Styela clava: one gene and its partners. The protein of the gene in region 2 binds, or shares a complex with, the protein of the main gene of each other region. Links are inferred from orthologs where the notes say so. Each region holds a gene or a part of one and is shown on either strand. Other genes may lie near its edges. The genes, in order: eukaryotic translation initiation factor 3 subunit I-like, eukaryotic translation initiation factor 3 subunit B-like, eukaryotic translation initiation factor 3 subunit G-like and eukaryotic translation initiation factor 3 subunit E-like.

Evidence for each region.
Region 1: eukaryotic translation initiation factor 3 subunit B-like (region 2) and eukaryotic translation initiation factor 3 subunit I-like share a complex: the UniProt entries of both Caenorhabditis elegans proteins name them as parts of the eukaryotic translation initiation factor 3 (eIF-3) complex. The link is inferred for Styela clava from reciprocal best matches to the Caenorhabditis elegans genes eif-3.B and eif-3.I.
Region 3: eukaryotic translation initiation factor 3 subunit B-like (region 2) and eukaryotic translation initiation factor 3 subunit G-like share a complex: the UniProt entries of both Caenorhabditis elegans proteins name them as parts of the eukaryotic translation initiation factor 3 (eIF-3) complex. The link is inferred for Styela clava from reciprocal best matches to the Caenorhabditis elegans genes eif-3.B and eif-3.G.
Region 4: eukaryotic translation initiation factor 3 subunit B-like (region 2) and eukaryotic translation initiation factor 3 subunit E-like share a complex: the UniProt entries of both Caenorhabditis elegans proteins name them as parts of the eukaryotic translation initiation factor 3 (eIF-3) complex. The link is inferred for Styela clava from reciprocal best matches to the Caenorhabditis elegans genes eif-3.B and eif-3.E.

What each region holds. Positions count from the first base shown.
Region 1 is NC_135257.1:18,325,556-18,334,429, forward strand, and holds the start of eukaryotic translation initiation factor 3 subunit I-like, read right to left. Parts: upstream 3,510-8,874; 5' UTR 3,284-3,509; coding exon 3,281-3,283; intron 1,536-3,280; coding exon 1,408-1,535; intron 385-1,407; coding exon 266-384; intron 1-265. Other genes in the region: uncharacterized protein LOC120346396, read right to left, coding at 6,844-7,756. UniProt on the Caenorhabditis elegans protein: Component of the eukaryotic translation initiation factor 3 (eIF-3) complex, which is involved in protein synthesis of a specialized repertoire of mRNAs and, together with other initiation factors, stimulates binding of mRNA and methionyl-tRNAi to the 40S ribosome.
Region 2 is NC_135262.1:9,898,868-9,906,731, reverse strand, and holds the start of eukaryotic translation initiation factor 3 subunit B-like, read right to left. Parts: upstream 3,686-7,864; 5' UTR 3,544-3,685; coding exon 3,378-3,543; intron 1,416-3,377; coding exon 1,223-1,415; intron 984-1,222; coding exon 864-983; intron 526-863; coding exon 468-525; intron 309-467; coding exon 180-308; intron 1-179. Other genes in the region: uncharacterized protein LOC120333244, read right to left, coding at 5,604-5,717, 6,014-6,841; Golgi pH regulator-like, read right to left, coding at 7,186-7,864. UniProt on the Caenorhabditis elegans protein: RNA-binding component of the eukaryotic translation initiation factor 3 (eIF-3) complex, which is involved in protein synthesis of a specialized repertoire of mRNAs and, together with other initiation factors, stimulates binding of mRNA and methionyl-tRNAi to the 40S ribosome.
Region 3 is NC_135254.1:23,798,571-23,806,443, forward strand, and holds the start of eukaryotic translation initiation factor 3 subunit G-like, read right to left. Parts: upstream 3,388-7,873; 5' UTR 3,253-3,387; coding exon 3,233-3,252; intron 2,313-3,232; coding exon 2,141-2,312; intron 1,608-2,140; coding exon 1,476-1,607; intron 1,353-1,475; coding exon 1,220-1,352; intron 1,027-1,219; coding exon 877-1,026; intron 432-876; coding exon 298-431; intron 1-297. UniProt on the Caenorhabditis elegans protein: RNA-binding component of the eukaryotic translation initiation factor 3 (eIF-3) complex, which is involved in protein synthesis of a specialized repertoire of mRNAs and, together with other initiation factors, stimulates binding of mRNA and methionyl-tRNAi to the 40S ribosome.
Region 4 is NC_135257.1:13,248,231-13,256,410, forward strand, and holds the start of eukaryotic translation initiation factor 3 subunit E-like, read right to left. Parts: upstream 3,401-8,180; 5' UTR 3,374-3,400; coding exon 3,179-3,373; intron 2,790-3,178; coding exon 2,673-2,789; intron 2,433-2,672; coding exon 2,306-2,432; intron 2,226-2,305; coding exon 2,044-2,225; intron 1,655-2,043; coding exon 1,466-1,654; intron 1,145-1,465; coding exon 914-1,144; intron 604-913; coding exon 442-603; intron 250-441; coding exon 151-249; intron 1-150. Other genes in the region: glucose-induced degradation protein 8 homolog, read left to right, coding at 4,859-5,545; ubiquitin-like FUBI-ribosomal protein eS30 fusion protein, read right to left, coding at 6,708-6,833, 6,911-6,966, 7,053-7,155, 7,292-7,408. UniProt on the Caenorhabditis elegans protein: Component of the eukaryotic translation initiation factor 3 (eIF-3) complex, which is involved in protein synthesis of a specialized repertoire of mRNAs and, together with other initiation factors, stimulates binding of mRNA and methionyl-tRNAi to the 40S ribosome.

The DNA of each region.
Region 1 (8,874 bases), on a different chromosome or scaffold from region 2:
AACTTTCTCTTCAGCACAGAGTTATATTGAAAGTATGCTAAGCATTAGAAACAAATTTCCACCCTTTTTCAATATGAATTAGTACCAGTAATGGAACAGAACCTGTGTTAATTTATGTATTTGTATTGAATGATAGTAAATGGTTGTATCGTTACCACCAAAACTTCTGATTCTGTTATTTTCTCTTTATTTATATAGGCCCCATTATGTTTTCTGGTTTGACAAAATTTTTATCTCCATCTCTCTCATTGACCATTTTCAATACCTGTTTCACAATCCCATAATTTACACGACTGGTCAGCAGCTCCAGTTAGGACTCTGGTTGAATCCCAGTTCACATCAACTGCCCAGACTGTACCTCGATGACCATCATATGATCCTAACCTAGAATAGAACAAAATTTGAAATTTCAAGAGTGGCAAAATTATATCGTTAATAATTTGAATAGGATTTACATATTTATCCAGGGGGAGAGGAAAGCCGATAAGACAAATTAATCATATGGCGAACCATGGGCTCCCGTCCGGTGACCAGTCCAGTTAAGGGATTGGTTAGCTAGTTATTTGTTTTCAAATGAATGGACTTGATTGCAGAGAAAGCCGTAACCAACCAACAGCGTGAACCGCCCTACAAGAGCGATGAGTCTAGCAATATCCTCGCACATAACTAACCCCACATGGGATTCGAACCTGCAAGACCACGCAGGATAATCAGAGGTGCAGTGGCTTAGCACGATGTGCCACACTGTCGTGATATATTCTGTTCTACTTGTGGAATTTAGCTGAACTGATAATTCAATTCAAAACACATGAATGTAGTTCCAAGGTGAGATTGGATTTCAAAAGCTTTTACATTATCTGACCGCAAGGTGACATAAGACAGGCAATAAAATACAATTGGATTTATATGACATTTAGGCTTAGATAGGGTTGTCCTGGCACTGGCAAATATCTCAGTAATGCAGGAAACTAAGCGTATACAAACCGTTGTACATCATCTCACCCCATGTCAACCGTCTCACTGAGAATGTAATGAATTGGGTAGGCAGGCAATGCCAAAAAGCTTCTGATCCTTCACAAATAATAGCTTCTTAAATATCGATAGCTATCAGTGGCTGCCGCATAGGGACTTTATTCGAAACGAAAGATGTGAACAAGCATCACATAAACAAGTAACAAACACTTGATTAAAAAATGTCATCGAAATGATGTAATATTTAAATGAGGTGAGCAAACATGAACTACTTCTTTTATCAATACCTTTCCATCTAAATTTTGTACACTTTAAACCCTACCTAAGGTTTTGGTTGCTCTCCCGATTCTATAATCAGTTTTACTTATTTTATTTTTATCAATTATTCTATCATCTGCTGATTATGGAGTCGAAATAAACTTATAAACAAGTTACCTTTCACCATTTATTGTGAACCAGACGTTAGGTGAAGCATCTTTTGCTGCTGTGAATAATAAATCTCCCTCTCTGTTATATTTAATTTGAGTGATTGCACGCTCATGGCCTTGAAGAATTAAAGGTTTCTGAAATATATTATAGAAGAACTTTGACATCAAGTTGAGTCAAGGCGATATCCTTTAGTTAAGCCCAATTAGGAATTCAGAATGAAGCTACCATGTATAGGTGAAGAATAGGATAAGTAGTATAAGTATATATATTTTGATTTTCCCGCAAAAATAATCATACACTAAACACAAACAATGAACACACAGAAGATTGGAAAACTGGCAAAACCTCTATAAAGGTTTAATATATGTAAATATACATGCGCCAGTTTACCCACTTAAGATTGACTTATTCATCTTGAAGGAGAAGAAAGCCGATAAGGCAATAAGACAGCTTAACCCTGTTATTTCGGGATGCGAACTAACTACAATATGAATATGGCTCTAATATGATTGGTCAGTAAGAGTTAACATTCTTTATGTACACGTCTTATTATGGACTTCACTCAAAACAAAACCAATAAGACATTTTCGCGCCTTTTTCAAGCATGATATAGGCTTGTCCGATTGTTTTTGCACCCGGGTTGTGCGTCACTCCTTTTTGGCATATTTCCAATTTTACGAGTTTTATATCTGTAAATATTTGAAAGCTAAGAAACATACAAAGGAATACGTTATTACTTGAAAGAAAGTAATTTGCGCGGCCGAGCGCCCATTTTCCTCGCGTAAACACGCACTAATAATTACCCGCACAATAATAAACAAACAAGAACTGCGTTGACTTCACAAATATACCGCTTCGTTACTCGGCAGCTATTTGCGCTACACCATTGCCTGTGATATCATTTTGTTAGGAAGACAAACACCAAAACGGCTATAACGCTTGCGAGAGAGTGCCGTTATCATAAGTAAGGTTCAACGGCCATAAAGGAGAGAGGTTCGAATGTTTGTTTACTATCGTCGATGAATTTTCTCACGTACGCAAAATTTCGTACATGGAGCGGTCCATTAGCGACCTCTTGCGTATAGAAAACAATAATACGATTCAAACAAGCCTTCAATGGCCTTTCAAGCCATATTGGTTAGGTGACAAATGCTAATTAAAAATATTTTAAAAATTTGACTAGGGAATGGCGGGTTAGGAAGGTTAATCATATGGCGAACCTAGGCCTCTCGTCCGGTTACCAGTCCAGGTCGGGTATGGGATTAGTTAGCCAGTTATTAGCATGGACTTGATACTGGAATTAACTTGAGCCATTGAAAAAATTTGGGGTCTAGTATAGTTTGGTACCACAAGTACTTCCAGTGGGCGTAGCATAATGAATTTTGCATTTGTTATTCCTAACCCCCACCTGACTATGCTATGCAAAAATTACGTCACTAGGACGTCACCATCACGTGATATGGCTTGCCAAAGTATAATTACAATCGCCCGAAATGGCATCTGCACCGCCGATAACGAACTCGCTAACGCCGACGATCTCTCTTCTATGGTGATCGTTGTGACGCAAAAACGAGAGAACTAGCTTGTTCGATTTCGGGTGATCAGCTGTGCGTTTTGGACGACCCTCTCCATACTTTGGTGGGTCTTATTACGCCACTGTGACGTCCAAATGACGGAATTTTTTGGTGACGTAGTCAGGTGGGGGTTAGGATTAACATATGCAAAAATTGTGGAGCCAGGCCATCTAGAAGTGCATGTGGTACTAAATAATACCTGACCCAAAATTTGCACTATAACAGTACAGTGATATTTAAAAGTATGCTAAAACAAAAAATGATGCACAGGCCGGCAGAAAGATGGACAAATAATAAAAACTCACCATATCCCAGTCCACTTAATTTCAAACGCTAGAAAATCTTCAGAAATAAAATCCAATAACACACTGAGACGACTTTATGGACAAAGAGAAATGCGATAGAAGCCGTTCGAATGCTTGCACTCAAGGGCCAGTTGCTGAACTGTAGGTATAATTACTAGAACTGTCAGATAGTAGAAGCCACAGAGCTGAAGACAACATGTGGCGAACAGTAAGCTGAGCTAAACACGAGTTAGATCTCAACGAAATAATTCGCGTACTCGAGTTGGCGCTGTTGAGCAAAAATGGATTTGAAGTTACGATGCAAATTATTTATTTATTTATGGCTCTCCGATAATTGACTACTAATGTTATGACTGGGATTCCACCAAGTAGCACAAAACTAATCTTATATATTTTGACCCTTTTTTGAATGGATTTTGTATTCTAGAACATAGTGAAACACGAGATAGATTATCAATGAAATTCTTGCTCCTCCCACGATTTTGTTTTACAACTGATATATATTTTCCGGTTTGACCCTCTCCGGGAATGCGTAACACGTATGCAACAACATCTTGTAAACTAGCTATGACGCACATTTTCTGCCGCAGAATGCTTTTTTCTACTCAACGTACTACTGCGATAATTAGTTGGTTCGATGCAACTGCTATTTTGCATTGCCGCTGCCTGATGACGCTGCAAGCGTCTTTAGCAAGATGCGGTCTCCGGTGCTCGTGTCAGGCTGGTGAACCATGGTCATATTTTAAGCAACTATACTAATTAATATACACCGAATTCGTCATATCTGTGCACGGGGTAAAAGAATGGTGTTTACAGAGGCTTTACAAACCGATTGCAACCTCGAACGATTTATGTGGTTTCATGAGGGGTGGTTTAAAATTAGTGTTGCATAGGTGCAACATCTTCCCTCAGAAGTGGATTTCGGTTGTGAAATTAGCTAAGATTCATCTGTATAGTTTCGTCAATTATATTGGCTTATTGAGCAGATAACGTAGTTTATGAGTTTCCTGTGTCACATAAGTTACAATCAGGATCATTAGGATGCAGTATATGAGAATTTGCCGTATAGGAAAAAATTTGGGTTCCGATAATTCTTTTGTAAACAGAAGATTTAGGAGGCGTGACATAAAGTATGCACAAGTGTTATGATTCAGATTTATAAACAAATGGAATCGAGGTATATTAGCCATAAATACGGGGTTAGAATGATAGAGAAGTGTCTCAGATTGATTCAAATTTGTATTTTCAGCGATCTAGCAGAACAATTGCAAATATGCCAGAGGGGAGATTTTTTGCAGAAATTGCGTTGGATTAGCGCGTATTTCTAATGCCACACTTTCAGACAAAGGAGCAATTGAGACTTACAATTATGAATATGTCGATGACGCTGATTTTGATAAAACACCTAATTTTCCAGAACGATATTTATGTAGCTAAGATTTTGAGCCTAAAAAATCAGACCATTTCAGCATTTTGACTGTTGGAATTTATGTGGACAGACAATAGCTATCTAAAAACGAATCTAGAGTTAAAACTTAGTCGTGTTTTGAAAGTCCGAGTGCGTCGCCGTTCAGCCAGATAAACATAAAAGCTAATTCGATGTTCGGGAGAGCACAGTTTTTCTCTGCCCCGAATTTTTGACAACACCATAAAGGTGTTGCAATCTACTCATAAACCAATCTATATTAATTGGTATAGAATTGGCCTGAACACAAATGCTGCAGAAAACTACGACTGGCCGTCTTTTAGACTGGGGGCAGGGTCGGTCGATAAATTCAAACGAGAGTCTGAAGTAAAAAGAGGAAACAAACCGTCCAAAAATATCGAAATCGTAAACCTGTAAATAAACACACAGATTGCTAACGATTTTTCTGCTACCAAAAAATTTGGTTTCCTATTTTTTCGCTGCGTAGCGTAATCAAAATGACTTTCACGCTAAAAATTCTTTCTCCGATAAAATACATTACAGCAAGTAAATGCAAAATTATTTCAATGTAAACGCTTGATTTTCTATATTCTTGCATTGATATATATGGAAAATCAAAGTTTTCGAATAATTTAAAAAATATAGGTAAATGAAAGTGTCAAGGGACAACTCATATGCATTTTCTAAATATTTTGACTTGAGAAACTACCAAGAGTGCAAAAACATGATCTATATTAACATTTGTTTACATTTTATTGCGACTTTTAATCATAATTGTAGTTTTGAAATGAGCCATGAAATAAGTTTGACAATACCATTTATATTTTCAACCATTGTGGTATACATACCGGTCATGTTATAAGGTATTGCAGATTGAACAACATACATGTGATATTTTAGAATTAGTCCTTTCTGGGCAGAAGTTGCACTAGCGCAACATCCAGTAAATCCCCCAGGGAATCGGACTGTCGAAAATTTTCAAAAATTAATCATATATGACCTAAAAGTATTGCTTTCCCCAAATATCAAATTTTCCCACTGCTAAAAGATAAAGGGGCCCGGAGAGGGTTAAGATTCCAAACCGGAATACTCAAATACCCGTATTAAATACAAAGCTTTCAAAACATTCTATGCAATAAAGGTATTTAAATGCATTATGAAGAATTATTCCGAATTAAATTGTACAGTATTGACCTGAGCTGCTTTAGGACTCTTTAGACATTTTCATAGGAATAGTAGCACTTCCCAGTCCTGACTCATAAGATTAACGCAATCAAGAAACAATTATTTTTTTAGTGCTAGGGTGCTTTATTATAATACTTATCTCCGCACCTTAAAGTAGTTAGGCAAATATAATTATAAATAGGATTCAATGGATATTTGTTAATATATTTTTATGTTAAGGTTGCCATTCAACATACAGACCGTGCTGCCTTCGAGACATGATATATACTTAAACAAATCAATACCGTTAAATAGAATTTTCAATCAGAAAAGGCACAATTGCGTACTATTGTTCGCAGTGCTCAATAAAATATTGTTAATAATATGTCTCCAACTTCTAGTAATTAAAGGTATGGAATATCAAATGAAATCTTTGTAGGAAAAAGAACGACTTTGTGGTACAGTATACGATATTGATATCTGAAAATCTCCTAAGCATATGCTTTGATGCAGCTTCACAATTTCATATTGGCAAAGTTGTTGGTCGCATTATACAGATCAAATATAATTGTTGTGTACAATTTTTGTCACAGTTGACCTCATGTCATTACTAAGCATCGTGTTTCCCCGAAAATGAGACAGAGACTCATTCCAATTTTCGTTTAAAAAATAGCACTAGGCTTTCTTTTAATTGGTGTGGGGGGGGGGGGGTTATTTTCATTTATCATAAAACAAAATTACAAAGTAGGGAATTACCAGATTTTCAAATATATATATTAATCATTTAAAACGTGTAGGAAAGATTTCTTGTCATCAACTAGGTCTTATTTTAAGGGGAGGGCTTATATTGAAATCAATTTTAAAATTCAGATTATTTTCGAGGTGACACGGTACTAAGTGCAAAGTCGAATCAAAAGATATTATACTATAATAAAACTGCGAGGAAAAGTGAGAAATCATACATATATACAGATCACACTAAAGGAATCGTTTTGGCCGGTCTGCCTGCAGTTTCCAGCCATCTTAAAATGTACGAATGTTTTCTCCTGTAATTAGGTGTGGCATTTCGAACGAGGGGAAGCCCGAATTGGTCCGTAAAACGAACTTTCTTTTGTGACGCACCCTCTGTATCAACAGGTGATTTGGCGACCTTGACCCTTCTTTGTTGCTGGATCTTCGAAGTTTGTGGAAACGCAGGAATAACCCGAAGTACAGGCGCCATCTTACGCGATTGAGCTCCGGGATCGTGTATTGTGAAACATGGCTGGTATGGATATACATTGGGAGCATCATCTGGATTAAATACCGGTAGCCTGCGATTCCATCTGACGTGGTTTTCGATGATTTTAAATGTAGTATTTGCTGGACTTTTAGCCATGCTCATTGCAGTTGCATTGCGCTCGAATACCGGTGTTCTAGAAACCGTGCCGTCAGTTTTTCTTGCATTCACTGCACTCGGCGAAAGAGCTGGATATCTGTATGGTTTACGTATTTGAGTAGTGTGTTTGTAATGTATATTGGCTAGTGAAAATGGGTGCCCATGTGCGGTTGACGTGCGTGGTCTTGGAGAATTGCTCTTTTGCATGAGTCTATAAAAGTTGCTTCCGTGTTGTTGTTTATCGTTGCCAGATGTTTTTGTGACTATTGTAGTGGCGAGAGGAACAGGTGTTCCGTTGTCGTGATCAGCGGGTTTTCTCGCTGGCAATGTAACGGGATTGTTCTCGTTCAGTCTGGCAACCCTATTCACATCGTCGTCTGATCCAAGGGTAATAACTCCACCCCTACTAGGAGTTAAGCAGAGAAGCTGTTGCGTGCTGCTTACGACGGAAGGGTAGGAATAATCTTGAAGACGATTGCTCCGTAGTAAGCCGTTGTGTATGGTCGATCTGAAAATAAAATTAGAAATTGATAAGTTGCTTTAAAAAAATGTATAAACCAGATAAAAGGCACATGTAAAATTAAAGGTGGGCTTGGAAGAAAGAAAAAAACGAGAATATCGGTCAAAGACCGAAGACTTATCGATCAAACTTAGGAGAACCCCCAAAACAGCGCTCTCACTCCATAGTGACACCTTGTGTCCCATCACTAATTAATTAATAACTCGCTAATTATACGACATAAATCGCCCAAAATCAATAGGCTTTTGGTCCGAGATAAGATGAATGCACATGCAAAATCTGGAGCAGATTCAATCTTGCTTTCATGAGATATCGCGTGCATCTAACAGACAAATACCCATCAACATACCTACCGATTAAAATCGATAAGTAATGAGTGCAACGACAAAGTTCGGTGTGAAAATTTCATATAAAAAAATAGAACATATAAGTCGTTCTGACGTGAGATTTTTTTAAATTAAAAAATTCACAGTTTTGCATGTTCATCAGTTATTACACTACCACAGTATACTTCATTATTTGCTATCATTTGTTTTTGGGCTCAGAGCCTCTAATTTCACGATTTTAATTTCTGGATTGAAACATTAATATATTTTACGTAGTCTTTCGATTTTTCTTGGTAGTATCCACTGAAGGTTTTGCACTATATACGATGATGGTGTGAAAAATTGTTTTGGGGATGGAAATCCAGAAATATTACTTTGCATTCCGTGTAGTTCTACTAAAATTGTGTAGAACCATTGCAATACATAATTATGAATACATACAAACCCTTCAAACTATGCAAAATTTCGAGTCCGAGTAAGCGTAACACTAGCTAAGAATTTTGTCAAGATACGATGATCAAGAGAGCTGTGCTCAAATATATGGACACGTCACAGGGTGTCGCTATTTTTTATTATGACACATAAAAAACGAATCTCTTAAAGTCCACAGAAATTTTTGAAATAAGTAAAAATAATAGCCTTCTGGCAAAAAAATCAATCTTTAACCACTGAAAATTTCAAAGCAATTGGTCCAGTATTCGAAGAGAAAAGCGATTTCATCATGACGAAAGAGAAGAAGAATTCTAACAAGAACAACAACATAATATTGAAACGATCGTG
Region 2 (7,864 bases):
CAATTCTGGGTAAGGTGGTGGGCATGAGATTTGAATTCGAAAACTAATTTTTCAATGGAAGTTCTGAATAATGAACAGGAGAAACTTGAAAGAGAGGATTGAAAGTAATTAAGCACACAAATTAATTTTATCAACAAAACGTTTATTGCTCAGAGTTAGCCTTTATTAAAATTTCAAACCTTTCTTTCTTCGAGTAATGCTGGTTCAGTATGAGTGTTTAAAAATATTGCTGTTTTATCTCCTCCCTCATATATGATACTGAACTGATCGTTGCAATCCTCTTCTTCAAGATAATAATGGAGATTTCCCTGAAGAAAAATAACACACAAAATTGAGTGAGCAATTTCAAGGTATGGAAACATCAAATTTTATATGGAAACAGACAAAGTCTATACTCACGAAAAGGAGAATACGGAGATGGAAAATATATCATCAAGTTCAACAAACAGTGATAAATAAAATCATACCATATCTTTAAATTCTTGTTTTTCTGCTGATTTTTGAGTAACTTCAATGTTGTCAAACCTGAAATTTTCAAGGCATAACATATCAGACCAATAGATATCACATTTTATACATTATCAACGTCGAGAAGGTCACTTTTCGAGATCACAGTAGGTACAGATAAAACATAGTTAACATCCAAAATAGTTTTCAAAATCAACGTTCAGCATAAATTTGGCTCTAAAAAATCGAAATTATTCAGAACACCATAAACCATTTTCCGTTTAAGACCTGTAACATAAATGTTGCTGCAATTTCAACTAGAACGCTGGTTCAATGACATCACTGTGAAAAATTTAGACACATAAATTTCGCCTCAAAATTTTCTAGTGTAATTTGAAACAAATGGAATAACATACTTTTCTATATCATTAAATAAATTAACTTTGAATGTATGAGCTTTGTCAAGCTTGTATCCATCAGCCTTTTTCACTGCTTCTAATGCATCCTCGGGTCTAGTGTATTCAATAAATATGTATCTGAACAAAGAAAATGATGAATTTCATTCAATAAAATGAGAGGGATGAAGAGAGCATGCAAGAATGAAAACGACCAAGATCAAAATTAATTAAAAATAATTTGAATACATTAAAATGATCGCAACAGCTTTTACCTATTCATATCATAAGCCTATTTATGATGTCTTCTTTTAATAATAAAAAATGTATATAATTAAGAACTTCAAAGTTTGCTTAAAATCAACATAGCGATTACTTACCCTTTTGTTTGTCCATTCTGTTGTGGAAAATGTTCGGACTGGATTGGTCCAAACTTGGAGAAAATTTTTGTTAAAACAGACTTGAGTTTTTCAAGTCTACTTTCACCAACGACAGGTATATTGTCAACAACAATTACAGATTCACATCCATCTGCTTCTTTTGGCTCCTTTCTCAGAATGTCTCCCAGTAATTCTGAATATATAAGTTGTATATAAATAATATATGCTCAATTTTATAAAAAAGTATATAATATATATGTATAATATATTCTAAGAGGTATTCCAACGAGATACATCAAATTTGTCTTTACTGTCAGTTTTGGTAGCATCAACACAGCAGATAGGTTATCAGAGCTAGGCTGCAAATTTGTTGTTTGATCCCAAATAGATCATTTCAGTGATTCATTTCAAGTGTGCATAGGAAGTTAACCTCTGAATGTTGCAGCTTAAAAATAAGTTGATCGCAAAGTGGATAAACCATCCCGTAAATTCAAATATTTTTAAAAAGATACCATGGACACAGGCCATCAGAAGACGTTGGATTGTTTGACATTTTAAAATAAATTCCAAAATTTATAATATTGAAAAATAGGATAGGATTTACATATTTATCCCGGGGGCTGGAGGGAGAGGGAGCTGAGGGCCTCCGGTTATCATTCCATGTCAGGTATGAGATTAGTTATTTGTTTTCGATAGCATGGCTTAGATGGTGGAGGAAGCCATAACCAACCAGCAGTACGTGAACCACCCTACGGCGGCGAGGAGTCCAGCAATCCTCTTGCACATAACTATCTCCTAGATGTCAATACAGCACACTATCCGAATTCCAAGAATTTTCCTCCATTTGGTTCAATAAAACAAACACTCCATGTCTCTCACAAAAGAGGGGCGTCTGGCACGACGACGGTGAAATTTCCCATAGTTCCGTCATTCCTGCATTTTAGTTTTGGCAATTTCCTGTGGTTCTCGCATTTCAGTGCATTTCCCGTTTCCCGCATTTTAGGGTTGCCCACACAGCCACGCCATATGACAATAAAAAAGAACAGTGTAAACATTCTGCAGTTCTATCAGAAACTTTCATGCAGTTGCAGAGTTCCCTGAATTAGAGTGGGAGTGGTGACTCTTCTACGACGTATGGGCCGGGGCCACGACCCATCGAATTGGGAATCGGCCCATCAAGTTGTGTAAAGGGACTATTCACTTGGCTAACACAGTCAGTCCCCGAACTCATATTAGAACTATAATGTAAAAAATATGAACAAAATTTTGTAATAACCCTAACCTGGTACACATACTACAGGAGTATTCTATCCTGTTGCTTGGTATTTTGCTTTATTTTTATTTTTATATAAAGGCCCATCGTAAGAAAAAAATTTGGAGTCTCGTGAAGTACACGCCGCAAGCACTTGTAATTGGCCTGGCTCAACAATTTTTGCATATGTCATTCCTAACCCTCACTGACTACGTCATCCAAAAATTACATCACTGCATAGTCGCAGTGACGTAATAAGGCCCTCCAAAGTAAACGTGTGGTCGTGCAGACAATCATCCGAAATTGTGCAATCTACTCTCTCGTTTTCTCGCCGTAACGATAACGATAAGAGAGAGATCGCTGGGGTTAGTGAGTTCATTATAGTCGGCACAGATGACATTTAGAACGATTGTAGTTATAATTTAGCAAGCTCTATGTCGCGATTGTTACGTCGCAGTGATGTAATTTTTGGGTGACGTACTTAGGTGAGGGTTAGGAATATTGTATGCAAAAATCGTTATGCTACGCCCGGTAGAAGTACTTGACGGCGTGTACTTCACCAGACCCAAAATTTGGTAGCATCTCACAATTTTTTTCGGTTCGAATATTGACAATTTTGTAAAAATTGCAAATTTTGGTAAGATAATTGAACTTTTCCTGATGGGCCCATGTCAGCATGTGGCCAAATTAGATGGACCGTGGCCCCGGCCCATAGAAAAGTCACCACTCCTGTGGCTGAATTACCAAGTCTGCAAGTTAACGTGTTGCAGAAACCTGACTGCTTGAGTTAATTTAACTGCATTCTGGCATTAGCAAATGAAAAAAAAGCAGTAAATACTGAAATAAAGCACATTCTGACATTATCAAAACCCCCAAATTGTGCAATAAGGATCACTCCCATACCTTCATCGCTGATATCCTCTTCATAATCCTCTGGATCGCTGAAGTCTGGCTCTTTCTCAAAGTCGTTTGACAATCCATCCCCATTTTGATTTTTCTGTCCTCTCTTCCTTCCTTTAACATCTTCCCACTGCTCTTCCTCGTCCATTTCATTTATATTACGCGTCATTACACATTACAAACTTCCTAATGAGAATTTATGAATAATATTGCGAAAACACGGCAATGAAACTAGAAATCAAAGATCCACCCACAAAAGCAGCCACGCAGCATGAGAATATCTGACAAGAAACACATGCTCCTGGACTCAGAAATTTAGCGCCCTCTGGCGCAAAACTGAGATGAGCGCCAAATATTCCTTTTGTGATAAATATTCTGACCGTTTTGTGTTTACGTATTAGTTCTCAAGACGACAAAGCAGCCAATTAATTTCATGCTATTTTTATGTCTCAAATAAGGGAAAAACTATCAATCTGTATGAACTTGGTTCAATCCCTGGACAAATCTGGCAAGGACTGTCTGTCCGTATAAGGACCGAAGAACCCAGATGCGAAAGCATGCGAATCAGATTTGCAAAAAGTAGCTTTTTTTATGCATCGTTCACATACTTTGGAACTCGGGATCTTTTACATAATAGTGGGTATGGGGAACTAACTCTGATGACCCAATTAGATGACCGCATGGTCGTATCACTCCCCAGCAACTTTGAGTGTTTTTCAATGTTTCAATGCTTGTTTTCTGGTTGACGAAACAATAACCCTTACTCTATTAATCTTTTCTATGCTACTGTAACAGATTCAAAAATATTTCTACGAATATATTTATATCCATAAAAACTGGAATCGAGAATGTTCAGATGAAGTAGCATTGACTACAGGGTATCTAGTGATTTCAGGTTTCGATTCAAAATACATTTAGGAAACCACCGATTTCTGTACTTTCAAATGTTGAGGACCCTCAGTTTTTCAGCCTCTGTTGTTTTTTGTCTTCCTTTTATCTACCGTTAAGGAGGATTTCATTATAAACTCACCTAAACGAAGTCAAATACAACGCGCTAGTCCTATATCATTAGAAAAGATTCTTCGAGGAGTGATTTTCTGTACTGTTTTTAAAAACAGTAGAGGCTGTTTCGATAAATAGTGGGATAACCAATAGGCTACTGAAAAACGAGTTCGATTCAAACAAAATGGCACATATGGATTGTTCAATCAAAACTAAGTAATTATATTACTTTCAACCAACGACTAACGCTTCCAACAAACAAACAAAAAATATATATATATACTAAAAATGTTCGGACCTCCTGAAGTATGCGCACCAAGATGGCGCACAACCTGAACTCAGGTTGTGTACCAAGTTAGAGTTCAGGTTATGCGACATCTTGGTGCGCGTACATCAGGAGTACCAACTGTTCGTTATTGATTTGCCAAACTCCGCTTGCCACGCAAATGCGGATTTTTCATTTATCTCACGTGATACGCATATATGTATGTAATCCGATGTGTTTCAACCATTAGTCAATTCTCATATGACATACGATTTTTTACGATAACATAAAGATCTAACTTGTTTGTCCATTATATAAACGAGTTGTTAGTGTTATAAATACAGATGCGCAAAACCCAAAATTCCCACATTCTTATTACCATCGGCTATTCTCCTCCCATATTTTATACGCGAGCTAGTAATATTATTTTGCAAAAATATTTTTTTAAAAACAAGTTGTGTGCTATATTTGAAACGTCTAGGGTTAACACTGCCCAACAGTTGTGTCAAAGCGTCCATCACAAAACCAGCAGTTTGGTCACAACATAAAACCCTCATTTTATAATATTTGAAAACTTATTCAAAATTGCATAACACCAAAAATAAGGCAAAATAACTACAACAAAAGATACAATACTCGTGAAAACATGGAGATGTAGTAAAGTAAGAATATTTATATATATACTAAGCTATAAAATATATTTAACTTTGCCACTAAACCAATAATGTTTGCATCATTATCTAAATCTGGAAAGATATAGAAATATTTGAGGCATAAAGAACTAAAATGATCTTTCAATTTCATGGGGTATTTTCATTTCACATAATATGTATAGGCAGACATTATCTTGTGAATGCGTCCAGTTTGCTACACATATAACATATTCTATCTGTGATTGCAATGGACGAATTACATGTTTGTGCAAGACCCTCTGTGTCAACAGTAAAAACAGTGGAATTTCCTTATAATTTTTCGCAGTCTAGAAAACATTCATTCTCTTCATCCTGTTCAATCACCAATTCTATCCTAGGAATCTTGGAGCCTGCACATTTATCTTGATCAAACATATCTTCATTCTGAGAACAGAAGCAGTTATGAATAAAAAAAAAAAGTGAAACAAAATTAACATTAAGTCTTTCTGCTACTTGGATGTGGCTCATATAGAAATATAAGATTCATATTACCAAGCAATGAAACAATATTAACATTAAGTTTTTCTGCTACTTGAATGTGGCTCATATAGAAATATAAGATTCACATTATCAAGCTATACGGCAAGCACGCAATAATTTGTGTTATTGACAAGAGCGAAGCTATACATTATCAAAGGCGGCCATTCTACATAAATTCTGTTACAATGCTCACTGCTCACCTGGCATATTTCGTCATTGGACGATCTTTTAACTTTTGTTTTGGATTTATTCGAAAAGCTTCTCTTGATTCTAGATAAAAACTGTTTCCGTAAATTTGGATTAGTTATTTGGTCTCTCAAAACAGGATATTGATCCATTGCTAATGTGACAGCATGAGAAATCCTTGTATCATGTGCATCTTTAATACCAATTGCTTCAACTATATCTAATACAGTGTCTTTGTATGGACGTTCAGCACTGGTCAACCATCGACCAGAAGCTAAAGTCCCAACTTCAGGATACAATTTGTAAAGATCACTTAAATATGCTTCCATATTACCAAACTTGAGCTGATCTTTGTTGCGTTGTTTGTTTGCGGTAATAGCCGATTTTACACGCCGTCGAATTATATGCTGCACGTTAAATTCATGTATGTATTGTCGCAATGCTGTGAACATGTCCAAAACAAGCAACACAATATCCTCGATTCTAAAATCTTGTAAATCATGGATTCCAATTTCTTTCACCAAAGAGTTTATAGTTTTAGTCAATATGCTATAATCACTTGATTTACCACCTTGGACCTTTTCTAACATATTGAAAGCATTTGCAGGGTCCGCTGTGGGTTTTACTTTCTCCAAAACTTCAGAGTAGCGAGAACGAAGCTTTTCTATATTAGCATCAGTCAATTCTTTTATATCCTTTTCCTTGGCCTCTTCATCAATATTATTATTCTCATTTATGTAGTCCGAAGTAAGAAAACGTAATGTTCCTTCATCATTGATTATTTGTAACGCAGCATTGTCGCCTTCAATGAAATTCAATTCATCATTTTCAGATTCAATCATAGCTTCGGTTCACTCTCATCTTATATACTCACAATATTGAGAAACATTATGCTATCTTTAAAAGAAAAGAACATGAAAACAAATCATTTCAGACATGCTTTACAAAAATCATGGAAGAATTTACATGTCTGCGCTAATACATTTGCATTAACTTATAATTATGAATTCTACTTTTTATTGTTACTTTGTTAGTATATCCATATTATGGCAGTATATTCCACTGGTATACTGTTTTATTAAAATCTACTTAGGCCATAATCCTCAAAAGATAAACTTAGACCTTCAATACTAATGTTTAAATTCAATCTAATTCTTTCTTACAAGCAAAACACAGTTCTGTAAGATCAGTCATTAAATGATAATGATAGTTTGACATCTTGAACTATATGTTTTTCAGGAGCTTGCTTATGCGCAAGATACAAAAATCCTATACTGCTAAGGGCACTAATAAGAAAAATAACATCAAACCACCTATGATAGAATTGAAATTGGAGTTCCCCCAAAACCTGAGTTATGATTTCTCGATATGAAGCAGGCATATTCATTCTCATTAGTAAAACAGAAGAAACAAAATACATTCCCATGATTTGAGCAAGCCCCATAACAATCACATTTGAAGATTTACTGCTCGAAATCGCATAGAAAAACTTTGTAAGGGTTATAAGAAGACCCCTAATTGATGTGACTATCATAATACCAACTAATATAAAAGAAACGTGTTGACTCCAGAATGACACGTCGACATCAAAGCCGAGATAATGAACTAATATTTCAAATCCCTTCGTTATTGGGTCCTTTTTACCAACTCTGTTAAAAATAATATTAATAATACACATGAATATTTTCCACATGCAATACAGAGAGAAGAAGTAACCTAAAACATTGAAGTACATTCCCTTGAAAGTTTTTGAATATTTAATCCGTTCCTTCGTGGCATGTAAATCAACAGTTTCTAGAAACAGCTGTCTGCTTAATTCTTCATGAGCAATTACTTCTTGTTGAAGTAACGAAACGTTTTCGTTT
Region 3 (7,873 bases), on a different chromosome or scaffold from region 2:
TAAAACCCTGAAACTGTTCTCAACTTGTTGGTTTGGACATGTAATCGAGGGCGCTGAGTGGTCTCCGAGACTACTTTGACTTTTCTAAACCGAACCGGTTCGCTGGGCTGATTTTGATGGACATGTAATCAGGCCTATAGCTTTCTATATTTTAGGGATTGCTTATCCTAAGCTTGGTACAGAAGTGCGAAACACCATGCAAAATTTAAGAGGCTTCATGGTATGGCCTATTCAAAAATTGAGCTTGGTAATTCCAAATAATGATTTCAAAATAGAACTTCGTTCCTGCAAACATACTTTTGATTGTTGAGTGTGTTTATCTTTAGCCAGATATATTCTCTGTATTGGACCAAACGGTCTGAATAATTCTTGTAAATCAGATTCCTTTGTTTCTTCAGAAAGATTAGTGACCCGTATTGTTGCTTGTTCATCTGGGAAGAAGGCATGAATATAAAAAATTCGCCTATTTTACATCAAGTTGTGTGAAGGGACTGGAACCTATGAGCAGGGGTATATTCACTTGGCTAACACAAACAGTCCCCAAACTTGTGATAGGACTAAAATAAGGAAAAAATTATGGCCTAACCCTGACCTGGTACACATACTACGGGAGTACCAAAATAAGCACAAGGTGGAATTTTCAAGCAGATTTTAGCAATGTAACTTTTTTGTTTTACCAAAATCACTGAATGAATTTTACCAAAAGACGATGATATTGTTGTATTTCAAAAATTTAATAAAAAAAAAATTACTACAGAAATGCCTAAATGTGTGTTTTTGTCATTGCAACATGACAGAACTAGTAACTCAATAGACACTAATGTTTTGACTATTATATTTTCATGAGCATTCAGTTAACAAATCCATAATGCAAACCTCTAGCTCCCCGAGATGGCATAGAAGATCCTCTTGCTGTTGCTCCAGCTCTCAAACTTGGAGGGACATACTTTCCACCAGTTCCACCTCCTGGTCCCGCTTGAGTTGGACTATCGACTTCATCTTTTTTTTCTTCCTCTTCCTTTTCAGCTGAAAAATTAAATACGATTAAATCTCAATGTTGAATTTTTCTTTCAGTGATCACTACAAACCAGACTATAACAAAGCGGAAATATGTGCCACGAATGTATCAGGATATCTTTGAACAATAGATATAACAAAAAAATACAGATAAATTTTTAATAAATATTCGACACAAAACCAAACTTATCCAAGATCATACATGGCCTATTTCCTGTCTTGAAATTCTTGAAAAACATGTAATATTGTAGTTGATTACGAAATTTCGATAACATAGGATCTTCTTGATCATGAATTTCCTCCTGTCTACTGTTAATGAACTGCAAGTTCACATCCTGCATGAAGAACAGAATAGATTAGAAACCCAAATTTCTTATGATGTATTTTCCATTCTATACCTCAAATAATTCCTTTGTAATAATTAACTATATATGAATTTACAGTGTAAAATGACTAACTTCTGAAATAATGGTGGTCGCACGATTTGGACCGGGAGGATCCTCCTTTGATACTCCAAATTTTGGTAAATGTTTTCTTCTGGCAACTGACTTTGATGTTTTCTGGATTTCAATCTTGTAGGTACGAACAATCTGAAATTTCATATGAAAAATTTCAAAACTTGTATCTCAAAGCAAAGTTGCATGGATATATTGGATGGATGAACAAAATTAAAACTGACAAATTAGATAAATCTTTATAATTTGAGGCATTTGGGAAATACATTGATTCATGCGCAATTTTAACCCAGTATTTCGATACTTTTATTGTTGCACTACTATTATATTTATTCAGCATATTTATTACGACTATACCGTAAGTTTATTTTGGCTGCATAACCCTGCATTATTAGCGCAAAAAGGAATGACAAATTTAAAAAAAATTTTAATAAAGAACCAGATAGGCAAATATAACTTGGGAATTAGAATAATACCTCAAGTAACTTGATTTGGAAACAGTTTATAATTTAGGCATAAATTAAGTTCTCAATTAATCAAACATGGATAGTATATAATATATGTTTTCGTGATACACAATATAAAATTCCCATGGTTAGTAATATGCCTTTGGTTTGAGTCTATGTATTTGATAAATATATTTAGCAGAATAATGACAAAAAACCAACCTTAACTTTTTTTCCATCTTCGTTTATTTTGTATTCTGTGATAATTTTTGTGTTTCCATCTTTTTTTTCTGATGAAGGCGGCAGTTGATCATGTCCTAGTTCTTGTACCTCTGCTTCTTCTACTTGATCTGCCCAACTCGATGGTTCGGCAGCATCAGCCCAACTCACTTTACTAAATAATAAAACCAAAGTTTCATATGATTCTGAATGTTTTTTAAATTTATCAATATCATATTTCTAACTATGACCAATCTGATATTGCCAAAGATGACATTTGAAAATATTTTCTAATATGGATATCCCTGAAATATGACATAGCAGAAATAGGGGTAACGGAAGATAAAACTTTTTGAATGAAAAATTCAAGATTTCAAGTGATCCGTTTCTACAGCCAAGACAAAACTACCGGCACCACTGCATCATTGGAACAGGCACCAGATATGTCACGTAATTATACTGGCCATGCTGCATAATTACTATGCATTATTTTATCAAAGAAAACTTTATTCTTACTACAGACAATATTACTTGAGAAAATTATTTTATTACTATTCAATCAAGCTTGTTTAAACTAATTAATTTCCAAAATGATGAAAGACATAATAAACCGGAAAATATCATCATCAAAAAACAAGCAGTATTCACTTGCTACTACTCTGATGAAAGTCAGTTAACAATGCTATAACATTTTTTAAGATTGGAATATGATTTGCTTCAATTATTAATTCCAATAGAGATGGAAATAAAAATGAACTTTTCAACAAATTTACACAATGGAAAAATATCAATTAGGAATTGAAAAAAAACTGCAACAAAAACATCATCATGGCACTGGACAGTGCAAAGTAGATGTTATTTGTTACTTATTAATAACCGATGTCCAGTAATATTTCGGTAATTATTTTATAAATATAAACTCAAAAACATTGACTATATACTGAACTGGGTCATGCATATGCTACGATTACAGAAACCAGAAACTTCATATTTTCCATGGCACATAGGCCATAGACCGAAGTTTGTTTGTTGACTTTGATACCTATGGTTGTTCAAGGTTCATGAGCAAGTCTTAGAAATAGAAGTTCCTTTTACCTGCTATCTTCAGACGGCATGTTCACACTGTGATGCTACTTTTTTCGTTGTTCCCTCTTTCAATTTCCATTTTTTTATATTATGTTTTATGTTAAATAAGTTAACATATTTGAAATAAAAAAAACATGTAAAATTGATATACATTAATGTAAATGATTGCTCCAATCACTTGAGAAGTACACAATACTGCATTTGGAATAAATTGTACTGTAGCATTCAACGCAATATAGGAATCGGCCGTCGTGCCAAACGTCCTCGCTTCAGAGACAAATTGAGTTTGTTTTATTGAACCAAATGTCGCGAATCGATGAACTGTGCCCTGTAACATTATATAACACAGTACGGTACATATCTCAGATGTCGCATAAAACAATACATAAAACAAACACTCAATTTGTCTGAAAAGAGGACGCAGAGAACCCATGCACAGTAGGTAATCAGAGGTCTGGAGGTGCAGTGGCGAGCGTATTCCTAACGCTCGGCACGATGCGCCACACCGCCAAACCGAAGTGAGTAGCACTGACTCGTCCTGACCATCGTTAAGAAAGAATGTGATGACTAGCATCCCAGCTATCCTCTCGCATGACCCAGCAATAGGCCTACCGCGAACCACGCCAGGGCTGCCACTTTTGCCTGACTAAAAACATCTAGATTGACCTCGAAAAACATCATGATTGAAAAATAAAACATCTAGAGAATACATCTAGATTTGAAGTCATTAAATTTGATGAAAATCAACGAAACGAGAGCATTCAAAGTTTATTATATTACAGTATTACATAATATTAGATATCGAAGAAGCTAATATCTATTATACTATTTTCAGGTTGTGCGCCATCTTGGTGCACATACTTCTGGAGGTCCCTTTTTACCGAACCTTAACGCCAACCATATCCATATGGAAAATGTTCTAAATTATGGTACCCAAAATGTGTCACCAGCAGGGGCAGACCTGCCATTACAGCATTACTGGCTACATATGTTGGTTTGTGTTTTTAATTTGCTGCCGTGGTACTCCAACTCAAAACAAGGTGCCCCGAACTCATTGCAAAATTTTTTTCTGCTTCACACTGTTTTGCGCTCTTTCCCCCACTGTTCTGCGCTGTTTCTCTCTGTTTTGCGCTCTTTGTGGTGTTTCGCGCTGTATTCAGTAAGTCTGTAAGTAGTAAGACCGGTTCACAGCACCAAAAAGTAAAGAAAGACAAATTCAATTGCACTAAAATAATTTTATAATTTTAAAATCCTATAGTAACCAACCTGAACTACACAAATTATTCTCACCAATTGGCAACAATACAATACTAAGTACTGAAGTACCGGTACTGACTTATCGTCCTTTCTATTTACAGATTTAATTACCGGTTTTTAAAGTCACATAGGGTGGCTTACCCACTTTGCGGCCATGACCTATCTGCGACCATCAACTTCATCGATCAAATTAATGCCGAAAAAATTAACGAACCGCGACGATATTTCTCACGCGTTATCGTCCACTTATCCCTCGTAGCTCTGCGAAATTACACTAACTAAAATGCGGCCACAAATAAAAAAGTTACGACCGAAAACCTGACCGAAGAAAAAAAACTGACCATTTTACCATGTCGCCAACTACCCATTGTTCCTTTAACAAAGGTTGAAAATCGATACAAATATAAGAGATAAAGAGATGAAACTTGGCAGGTGGGTAGAGTTGTGTTTCTTTTAACCATCTTTAAAGTTTCACGTTTCTACATTTAAAGGAGGGGGAGTAGGGGGGTGCGCATTTCCAATACGTCAATAATATCTTTGTCAACTAATTTGCGACCACTGTGTTTTTGTCTGTTTGATTGCTGTGATGCGGTGCTTTGTTCATAATTTGAAGAATTTTGTTCGAAATAACCGTGTTCTTAAAATATATGACGGTCAGAAATGCAATTAGAAGCCCATTTTTCACTCATGGCTGCGTATGCCCTAGTCTCGACGCAGCAGAAACGATGTTCAAGGCTTGAAATCCGTGATCGCACACTGGTCGTTCGGTCGCAAATACGTCTTCAGAGTGTCGTACTTTGGTGGTTTGTATAGCTTTAACCCCTGGTCGTAGAAATTTCAGCGTGTAGAATAAATGCCAATGCACCTACGGTGAAAAAATTAACGGGTTAGAAATATTGGTTTTTGTTTATAGCGGTTTGAATGAAATCGTCCGCAGACTGGCTACACCACCCTACCGTAACCTAAAAATGCTTAACTCGTTATTCGAATTATCTAATTACATATTATGGTACCCGTAGATTAGATAAATACAATATATTATATATATAAATGAGTTTTATAAATCTGACACTAATAGACTATATTTAACTTACTTCTGAGTAATGAAATAATATTCATTCACATATTACAGTATTATACACATCGCTTTATTCATTTTCCACTGGATAATATAAGGAACGTTGAAAAACATCTAGACTCCAAATTCTACATCTAGATCTAGCTATAAAACATCTGGAGTGGCAGCCCTGAGGAACAGGCAGCAGATATGCAGACATCGACAGGCACAGCGTGCAGATGTTTCGTGGATGTTTCGCTGACCCTTGACCCATGAAAATTTCTTTGTATGCCTTTTTGTACAAAGTGTATAGAGCAGTGGTTCTCAACCGCCGGTCCGCGGCAACCTTGCTGCCGGTCCGCCAAATATTTTTCCAATATTAATATATATATTATAAGCAAATTGCAAAATACAAAGTATTGACGTATTAGTTTTATGATTTTTTTTTAACTCTTATTGATTGATGAGAAGTCCTCTGCCCATTTGAACCATTGAGGTGTGATGATTTGAACACTGAACGGCTGGATGTTCGTAAAGTCTATGACCTCATAACGGCGGCTAACGTCATAACGGAGAAGTTTGATAGCACACAGTTAGGGTTTTGTTTTTTATCAATTCTAAAAAAAACATCCTGTTTCCAAACAAGGGCTTGTTTTAAATCATTTGTTTTTCTTTATTTTTTATTGAAATACCCTTTGCATCGCCGTGGAACTACTCCAGAACATTGCGTTATGAGTAAGAAAATCATGAAACTTATTTAATCAATTCAATCAAAGGCAGCCTTCGGCAAAACAAGGTGCGGTATGAAGAATATACTTACATCGGCGGCAATCTGATTTAAACGATAAGACAGGCTATGCTAATTGTAAGACCCCTCTGATGCACTGATGTCGGAACTAATCTGTTATCACCCCATAATAGGGATTTTGAGTTTCTGTATTAACATTTTTCTCATAAAATAAAGGCATTATTACGGTCAAAACTATTCGGTTAATCTTAATGTATACTTAGCATACTTTGTTCTTAAGGTTAAAGTGATGAGGTTTTTCAAAGTTATACTAACTCATTTATTCGGTTGTATTTCAATTTTCACAGGGTGGTTCTTGTCGTAGAGTCGTCCACGCAATGTCTTATCGGTTGCGTCTTCCTGCGCCAACCACTTTTGCAGACGCATTGAACTAAAGCTTGAGAAGGCGTGTATGGGCGTGTATGGATTGATTACTTTGCACAACAGAAAAATCGGTGCCCCAGAAGTATGCGCACCAAGATGGCGCACAACCTGAACATAGTAGGTGTGTACCGGTTAGGATTCAGGTTGTACACATCTTGGTGCGCATACTTCTGGTTTTAACTTCCCTTCCGTAACTCCAAATAATTACGTAATTCCGTAAATCCGTAAATTACGTGCAAGCCTAGTCAATCCATGACCGATTGGGCATATTCAAAATGTCTTGCTTTATTAATTCACTTGTATTCAATTTAACCTGCGGTTGCGTCGACAAATAAAGTCATCACTACTCTGAAATGCCATGGTAATCCGCGTACATAAAAATGTGTGGTAAACTTTATTATATCTACTTTCGATCCGTATTTTGCGAATTCGACAAATCTGAGCTGTACTTGCAACTTGCAAATTATTTTCAAGATAAAACAGTTAGAAAAATCCCCACGTCTGCTATAAAATCTCAAGGATTTATCTTGGTACAATAAAAATTGATTGAATATACTTTGATTAATTATCTTATATATCACCACGACTCGGGAAAAAGTCGCGTTTCAACCTTGTATATATAATATTAACACGAAAATTGTCGACGGCAATTTAAAGCAATGGATACAAGGTCAATTCCGCGCACAATTGACTGTGTTTCGATTTTAGTGACGTTATGGTTCCCAACGCCGCCGAAACTCATGTGTGCCGTGTGTCGAAACTTATCTTTGCGATTCACAATGCCCAGAGAAGCGTTTCTAATCTGTCGTGGGCCTCCTACAACAAATTGTTTACGTTTTTTTTTATTAGTATTTTATATTTTCGTATTTCAATCAAAAAACTTTGCGTCGCCGATCCACCCGTTTACTTGAATTTAGCATCTCGCCGCCGATGAACGTATAATAACTTTCAGCGAATTTCGTTTCTCCTTGGATCGGGAGTCTTAGGGTAACCAGGTCGTCTCGACTTACTTTGATGTAAACTTGTTTCAACAATTATATATTGTTTGATTTATATAATACTGTTATTTATCTAGACTTAAGTCATGGGTCACGCTGCTCGATAACCAGTCTTGGTGTCTCGCGGCTCACTTCACCCTGATGTACCATTTTACTTCTTATTTTGT
Region 4 (8,180 bases), on a different chromosome or scaffold from region 2:
GTTCAAGAATTTGGATAATTGAGAGATTATTTCAATGAGGATTAAGAAGTGTCAATTTGTTTCCTATAAAGTATCCCAGCATGGAATTGCTGCATCGATTACATGCTCCCAATAAAAACGAAACTAGATTGATATTCAATAATCACTTACTGCACTTTCATTGGAACTTTTTTCCTTTGTCAGTCTTCTCTCTACATTGGTAGAGAGCATTTGACTTCGAAAAGCCAAATTCTTAGTTTTCTCTATAACCTGGTAACAAGAATGTCGGGTTTATTGGGCAATTGAAAACACCGATTGTGTCTGTAAGGAGTCCCAACCACTTGTTGAAATTAGTATCAATATAGTGTTTATTCATTTTAATATGCAAATAAAACAATGAATTTATCAATACGTTTACACATAACTAATAGAAGAATTCTTGCATTTAACATAATTTTGAACCTGCTCATATGGTGACACTGCTTGTGTTCCCATCATGACATGGCCCAGTTTGGAGTCTATTTTAGCATCCAAGTGAGCATTTCTGATTAGATTCACAATCCATCTCTCTGCATCTTCCGAACTCATGTTGAGTTTCTCTGCCAGCATATCAATGCTAATGCACTGCGTAGGAAGAAAAAATTTATATTGATTCTACGTATCCAAAAAATGAAAAAAACCAACCATCAGATATTAGCACAAGATAATGACTGGGACTTCAAGAATCAATTGAGTTCATGTTTATCACATAAGCTAGGAACTAGTAATAGTCTTTAAGTATGACAATAGTTAAAACTCCTTAACTCTTAAAAACTTTACATTTTACTCTAAACACCACTGTTCAGTACAGCCAGACTCTTTTAATACTCATTAATAATAGTGTTAGAGCAATTAATATGGGGAAGCCAAATAATAAATAACATGAATTATATACCTGATGAATACGGCAAAATGTTTCGAAAATGAACAATCTTGCATTTTCTATGAACTCATCAAGACAAGCAATGAGGAAGAAATCGTTTGCCAATACAGTCTCACATTCCCTCAGTTTTTCTTGAGCACGATCAAAATCAAAATGAATGTAAAGACATTCAATAAATTCAGTGACTGGGTCACGGTATGTGTAGGTCTCTTGTTGAATTACACGAACAAGATCTTTCAAAACCTAGAAGACGAAGTTTGTTTAACCTAACTGCTAACTGTTGGATCTTTTGCACTAATGCAAAAATGTAAGATTTGGAAAACACCACCGCCACATTTTAAGTACTGCAGATTGAGCATTCGCTGTCGATAACCCCGACTTCGATAAATTCAGTGCTGGAATCCATCATTAAATAAAAAATATCTAGACACTAATTTTTTTAATTTGAGCAGAGGGGGAGTGTTTTTTTTTGGCGGGGGCTTTCTAGAAAAAGTCAAAAATATTATAGATTATTTATTTACCTAAAACTACCTATTACTTTACAATCAAATATTAATTGCTCACCTGTCTTCTCCTTTTACTTGTGATAACTGCTGTTGTGAGATAACGAAGTATCCAGGGACACATGGTTTGAATAGCATTTAAGTAAGGTAGTTGATAGAGAAAAAGTTCAATGATTTCATCTTTGCCCTTAGCATGATTGAAAAATACAAACAAAGACCAATGGATCAGCCATGTCCTCTGCTGGAGTAGCTGAAACAAAACATATGTTTTAAAATTTAAAATACCAAAGTCTGTAAATCCACAGAAATTAATAAATTAAACTTTGAGGTACATTTAAAATATATTCAAAAAATGTTCTCAAAACTAGAATCCATATTATTGATAAATCTATATATTTGACTATCAGCTCTGTATTTTATGGGTCTTTGAGCCCAACTGTCACATGCAGACGAATTTGCTGCCACCAGACTTCCACAGCTCTGAGCATGTTTTTACATAAATGAGGTCATGCTAAGAAAAAATAGCCTCCAACTCTAAAATTTCCAACTCTATTATTAAACATCTTATCCAATATATACATATAAATATAATATTGATATAAAGATGAGTGAAACTAGCAAATAACTAATGAGTGAAACCTGCAGAGGAGTAGCTATTGTGTTTGCATCTATTGTTTCTCGCAATCTATGCAAATCTTCCCAAGCTGTATCCCAATTCTGCATCAATATTTCACTAGCCAGTTTCCCCCACAAAGTATCCATCGCATGTTTATCTGTCGGACTTACAAGAACTCTATGAAAATATAGGTATTCAGCAGCACCTGAAAATAATATTAATAGAATTCAGGTACCAAATGGATTGAACAACCAACTTTGACTATTAAAATCTCTATAGTCATACCTGAATAGTTACCACATTCATACTGGAACTTGGCATAATCATATAAAGAATCTAAGTCTTCGAGCCTAAATGCATGGTTTGTTTCCAGATATTCAAAAAGTTGTTTTCCGTCTCTGACAGTTTCGACCTGTAAAATCAGAGAATGTTGAGAAATGCAGCTTTATCATTCAGTTGAACTGTTCATCAAACAAGTACTAGCCGAAACTTTTTAAAAGAGCAAAATACTCACGAACTGGAACTATATGGTAAAATGCTCATATTTTCTACATTAAATGAATATTCTGGACAGAAAGTATTGATTTGTATGTTGTTATCAGCATTAGTATAAAATATCAGTCATTTGAATCCAATAATAAGCAGCACCAACCTGTTTACTGACTTCCGGGTTATTGAAAATCTCAACGATAGGCATAGTTTTTGTAGTATGAGATTTTAATAAGCCGACAACTTCTAATCTTTTCTCTGTTAGATGAGCAGGAGCCTCCTTAAAAATAAGAGCATCATTAAATAGAGCACAAATGTACGTATATCAAATACCAACCCCTATTTGACTACACAATCCAAAAAATGACATCAATATCATGTCACAATCACTTCACGCCTCCAACCGATGAAATGGCATCTGCGCCGACGAAAAAGAACTCACTAAGATCGTTGCGGCGAAAAAACAAGTGATCGGAGAACATCTGCGCATCTTGGATTACAGTTCGTATAGTTTAAAGGGCCTTAATACATCGTGGTGACATAATTTTTGGATGACACAATCAAGTGTGGGTTAGATGGACATAAGCTAAAATTGTTACACCCACTAGAAGTACTCATGTTGGAAACTACACTAGACCCAAATTGAAAGCTATCAGATGCTATACTTGCCTCGCCAGGATACAAAGTTTTATAAACATCCACTGCGAAATCCACCATGTTTGTGTTGCTCAGAAGATCAATTTTTCCTTTGTGCAAATCCCTTTCATCAAATATGTCTCGTTCAGATAAAAATTCCAATAATGGAAACACCAAGTGGCGATCCAAATAACAACCAATTTTTGATGTGAGATCATATTCAGCCATTTTAAATTTAATTGGAATAACTATACCTATATAACATAAAGAAAAATTGAACCGTTTTAGTTTCCTAATTGATTTTTTCAAGTGGACTATATTTTAATTTAACTAATTGATTATCTTTTTAGAAAGAATTACACTCATTTCCCTTTTCCGAAATGTCTAATTTTAGTCCGTGATCTCAGCTGTCGGAATATCCAAATCATTTTCACAAGCCTGCAAACATCTAAACTTTCTCAAATTTGAGCAAATCACTAGTAACGCAACTTGCATGCAGATCGTACAAATGAACTTTAGGATACTTCTAATTTTATAATATTGATCTATTCATTTAAACGAGAAGTAAACAATCATACGGTGGGTACCCCTGAAATAAAGCACACAAATTCTCCTTTTCCTGTATTATAGCCACGCGAGTGTTCGAGTGATGGTGTTGAATGACGTCACTAGGGTTCAAGCATGCCTTGTCAACGCATCCTTTGTGGCCAAAGACATATTTTGTCTACTTCAAATGGCTAATTCGGTATATAAGGATGATTTTTCATTATTATTATTTGTTTTATCCTATATTCATTTGTTTGTAGACAGCAATAACGCAAATAAATAATGCAGTAGTCAAAAATCAAGATCAAGGGGTCAAGGGTCATAGAAACATCACAAATACTTTGATTGTAACCGAAGTGAATATAGTCATTCATTAGTCTGTCACTTTGATTGTAACCGCCTAGCATCAAATTATGCACTCTTTCCCGATAGGCAGTATTTTTGTTTCCGTAAATCGATTTCTTGCAGAATTCCCACAGCGAAAAACTATTTAAGCGTTGGTCTAATGACTCTAATTACATAATTAATGATGTTAGACCGCCATATTTCAGAATTTACTTTTTTCTGTTTGTCGCAAATTTCTACTTACCTAATTCAAATTCTTTCCCCAACAACTCAAGGTAACAATCCCCAAACTACTCTACTGCTGTTGAAAAGAAGTTTTTCACTTCGAAGCTAGCTGTATCAGTATCTGAGTATACAGCAGGTTTATTGTCTAAGACTGAAATGATACTGGTATTTAGTTTATATCAGTCCTAACTAATCTTCGATACCGTAGTCTATTGATTTCAATGAAATTCCCTAAAATCTGACATTCGTTTTAATGAATGCATGTTTGCTAAAATGAATAACGCAATAAATTAGAAGCTATGACAGTATGACTATGAGAGATTCATGCTGATGTAAACCAGTTGTGTATAATCATAATTTTTGAACATCAATAATTTTTATATCAAAATATGTAAAACTTCAACTAAAGTTTGTCAACAATTAGACAATGGTTGTATGAATGACTATTATATCGATATTTAAAAAATATATATATAATTTTCAAATGCTGATTTATTCTAAATATTAATTTCGACTAATGTAAAAACTCATCTAGTCAGTGATTTCTCAATGTATTCCAGATGAAAAAACAGTTTGCATTAATTACATAAATAAAAAATGGATGTGACAATGCAAGAAGAGAAATCTCCACAGAACGATAAAGAAAAATGGGTTGAAGAGATGGAAAATATGCACATTGAATCTGCTATTATGAACAGGTTAATCATGGACTATTTGGTAACAGAAGGATACAAAGAGGCTGCAGAGAAATTCGAAATTGAAGCAGGTATAAGTGCTTCGGAATGCCTGAAAGGAATCGAAGGTCGAATTAAAGTTCGAGATGCAATATTGAAAGGGTGTATATCAGAAGCAATCTCACTCATCAATGATCTGCACCCTGAGCTTTTAGATGATGACAGAGTGTTACTTTTCTATCTGCAGCTTCAGCAGTTAATTGAACTCATACGTGAACACAAAACGGAAGAAGCGTTGGAATTTGCCCAAACAAGTTTAAGTGAACGTGGTGAAGAAAGTCCAGAATGCCTTGTCGATATGGAAAGAGCTTTGGCTTTGCTGGCTTTTGAAAAGCCTGAAGAGTCGCCATTTTTGGACCTTTTATGCCCTGCACAAAGGCACAAAGTTTGGAGTCGTGTCAATGCTGCAATTATGGAATATGAAAACAAAGAATCTGTACCTTGCCTAACAAAATTAATAAAGCTTCTAATATGGTCTGAGTCTCAGCTTGAGGCAAAAGGAGTGCATTATCATAAGATGAATGATATTTCGAAGGGAGAAGTTTCTTAACATTTAGAGTGAATCAAGATTATGATTTATGAAACACTTAAATACATTTACATGTGGGCACTGTTCGGACATGCAGGTGCTATTGATACTTCCCTATGTTATATAATGAATTTTCTCAAATAGGCAAAGCATCTATGAAGAACATCTGTGCAGCTCATTTCATTCATAAATGTTCTTCAAGTCAATATCAACACTCCGCTGCATTTTACTAAGAACAATTGTGCACCATTAACCAAGGACACTTAATTGTACAGTTTTATGAAACCAAGAATATACTTGAAGCTTCATAAACATGTATCTTTGCTATAAAAATTACCTAAGTGGTAAACTGTCTCTATAGTATTTCAATAAAGAAAGTCAGGAATGGAATTCCCTACAGGACATTGATGGAGACAGGAAGAATGATAAAATTTTGTCCAGACTATTTTTTTTACCGCAGAATCATCAAGAATTAGTGTAAATAGCATAATGTCTCTACTAATATAATATTTATTCTCACTTATTTAATTAGGTCACTATTTCCCACCAATTAGTTGCCATTGTATCTCAAAAGCAGGATTGATTAACACACTAAGAGACCAGCCTCGAGAATCTTATGGGCCAATCACTCTCTTAAGTGGGCCACTTACAAGTAATAAACTTGGTTACTGGGCCCCCAAGGTTCATGAAAAACAGTTTAACTAGCGTCGATAACAATCTCCTTCCTGCCTGCTCATTTCACTGATGTATATAATGCAATAGGTATTTATTGCATGAGAAATTTGTATCCGTAAAAACTATAGTCTTAATTTATAACAGGCGGAAGTGGGCCGGATGAAACACTCATGTGGACCGAGGGATGTATTAAAAAGTACCTTGTCTCTAAATATTGCATTGAAAAAAAGACTGTACAAATCAACATCCCAAAATAGTTTTCGCAATTTAATACTCCTGAATTCTAACATATTCATCTGAAAGGAACAAACTGATATGTTCTGTGGACAATTTAAAACATATTCTTCAGTCTATGTTGCATTCTAAAACAACTTGCGAAATTTGGATACTTAATCAAACCTTGTCTAGAATAACTGTTTCTGATCGTATACCTCTACATTACATAAATGAAATACAACAATATATTGAAATGGATCACACCATTTTATTACAATATGGAATATACCACTTAAGAATTGGAATTAGGTCCACGCCTTCTGCCAAATGTTGGTACTACATTGACAAAACGCCTGTTATATTGCATCCTCCTCTTAGCCCGTCCAGTTTTCTGTTTCTTCTTTTCTTGCTTGTCCACCTGCAGCGATGTAATATATTATTAAGCTGAATATATGAAATAATTCACAAAATAAGATACAAACTTTTGAATCTTACCTTTGGGGTCTGACCTTTCACTTTTCCAGCTCTGGCCAAGGATCCGTGGACCTTGCCTAAAAAATACATGATATCATGACTTCTATATATTTGATCATAAATGTATCTATATATTAAATCTTAAGTTCAATTCGAGGCATACCTCCAAGAAGCCTTGACGAGACATCAAGGGTACACAGATTCTGAAGATTGGAATCGTTAATAGATAGTTCATCTTCAATAATTCGTCCTCCACAGCTTAGAATCTGGAAATATGTTAAAAGCAGTTGTATTATGGCCACTACTTCTCCGACTTCAAAACGCAAGGAAATTAGCAAAAGCTCAGTAAGAAGTGACAAAAAATCATAAATTTAGTTAAATTGGAGAAGAAATCGTACCAACCTGATCATCAACTGATATGCCTTCTCTAAGGGCAATCAAATGTTTGAGTGTGGCGACAGTTTCATGGCCATCGACCTCAACACAATGAAGCTGTTCTGCTTGCAAAAAAAGTTGCATTTTCTAAAAACAAATTATATAACATTATTCATCAGTACAGACATTTCATTCAAGAGAATTGTGCCACAAATGGATTTAATTAATCCTGAATTGATTTAAAAGGTATTGCCCTATTATACCAGACTGGATTTCAAGGCAGGTGAAGCCCGAAGGCGCTAGCGCTTCGTAGAAATGCACGCGAGCGAATTCAATTTTGCTTGCCGAAAACATGCAATTGCTCACTAATGAAAATCGGTTTAAATGGTTTTTAAATCAATAATCCGGTAATATAAAGATGCCAACAAATTGTAGCTCTACAATTGTGGACTACATAATAGCTTGCAAGATTTGGCCTGATCGAAAAATGCGAAGCAAAAAAGACCGTATTTCAAAATTGCTTAGCGGTATGGTGCATCGTGTTGAATGATAGGAATCCCGTGAGAATGGACCTTTGACCCCCGAAAAATTCTTCCTAAACTTTACCATTGCAAAATTTTCAAGGCTATTTTTAGAGTGCTTTTGCGAGTTGGCGCCTGTAAAACGGGGTATGTGTTGCAAACCATCATTATGATTCATAGCATACAATAATTTGTTTTTTAAAGTACCGGTAAAGAATTTTAGCCTGGTCTATCACAGCTATTTCTACACTAATTTTTTATTACTGCTATTAAATTAAAACTCCTAGGAAGACAGAGTGATCATTGAATTATCTGATTTATATTCAAGTTTTCGAAACACAACTGAAAACTGACGAATAGAGTTCGAAAATGATGTAATGTTTATGACCATGCTT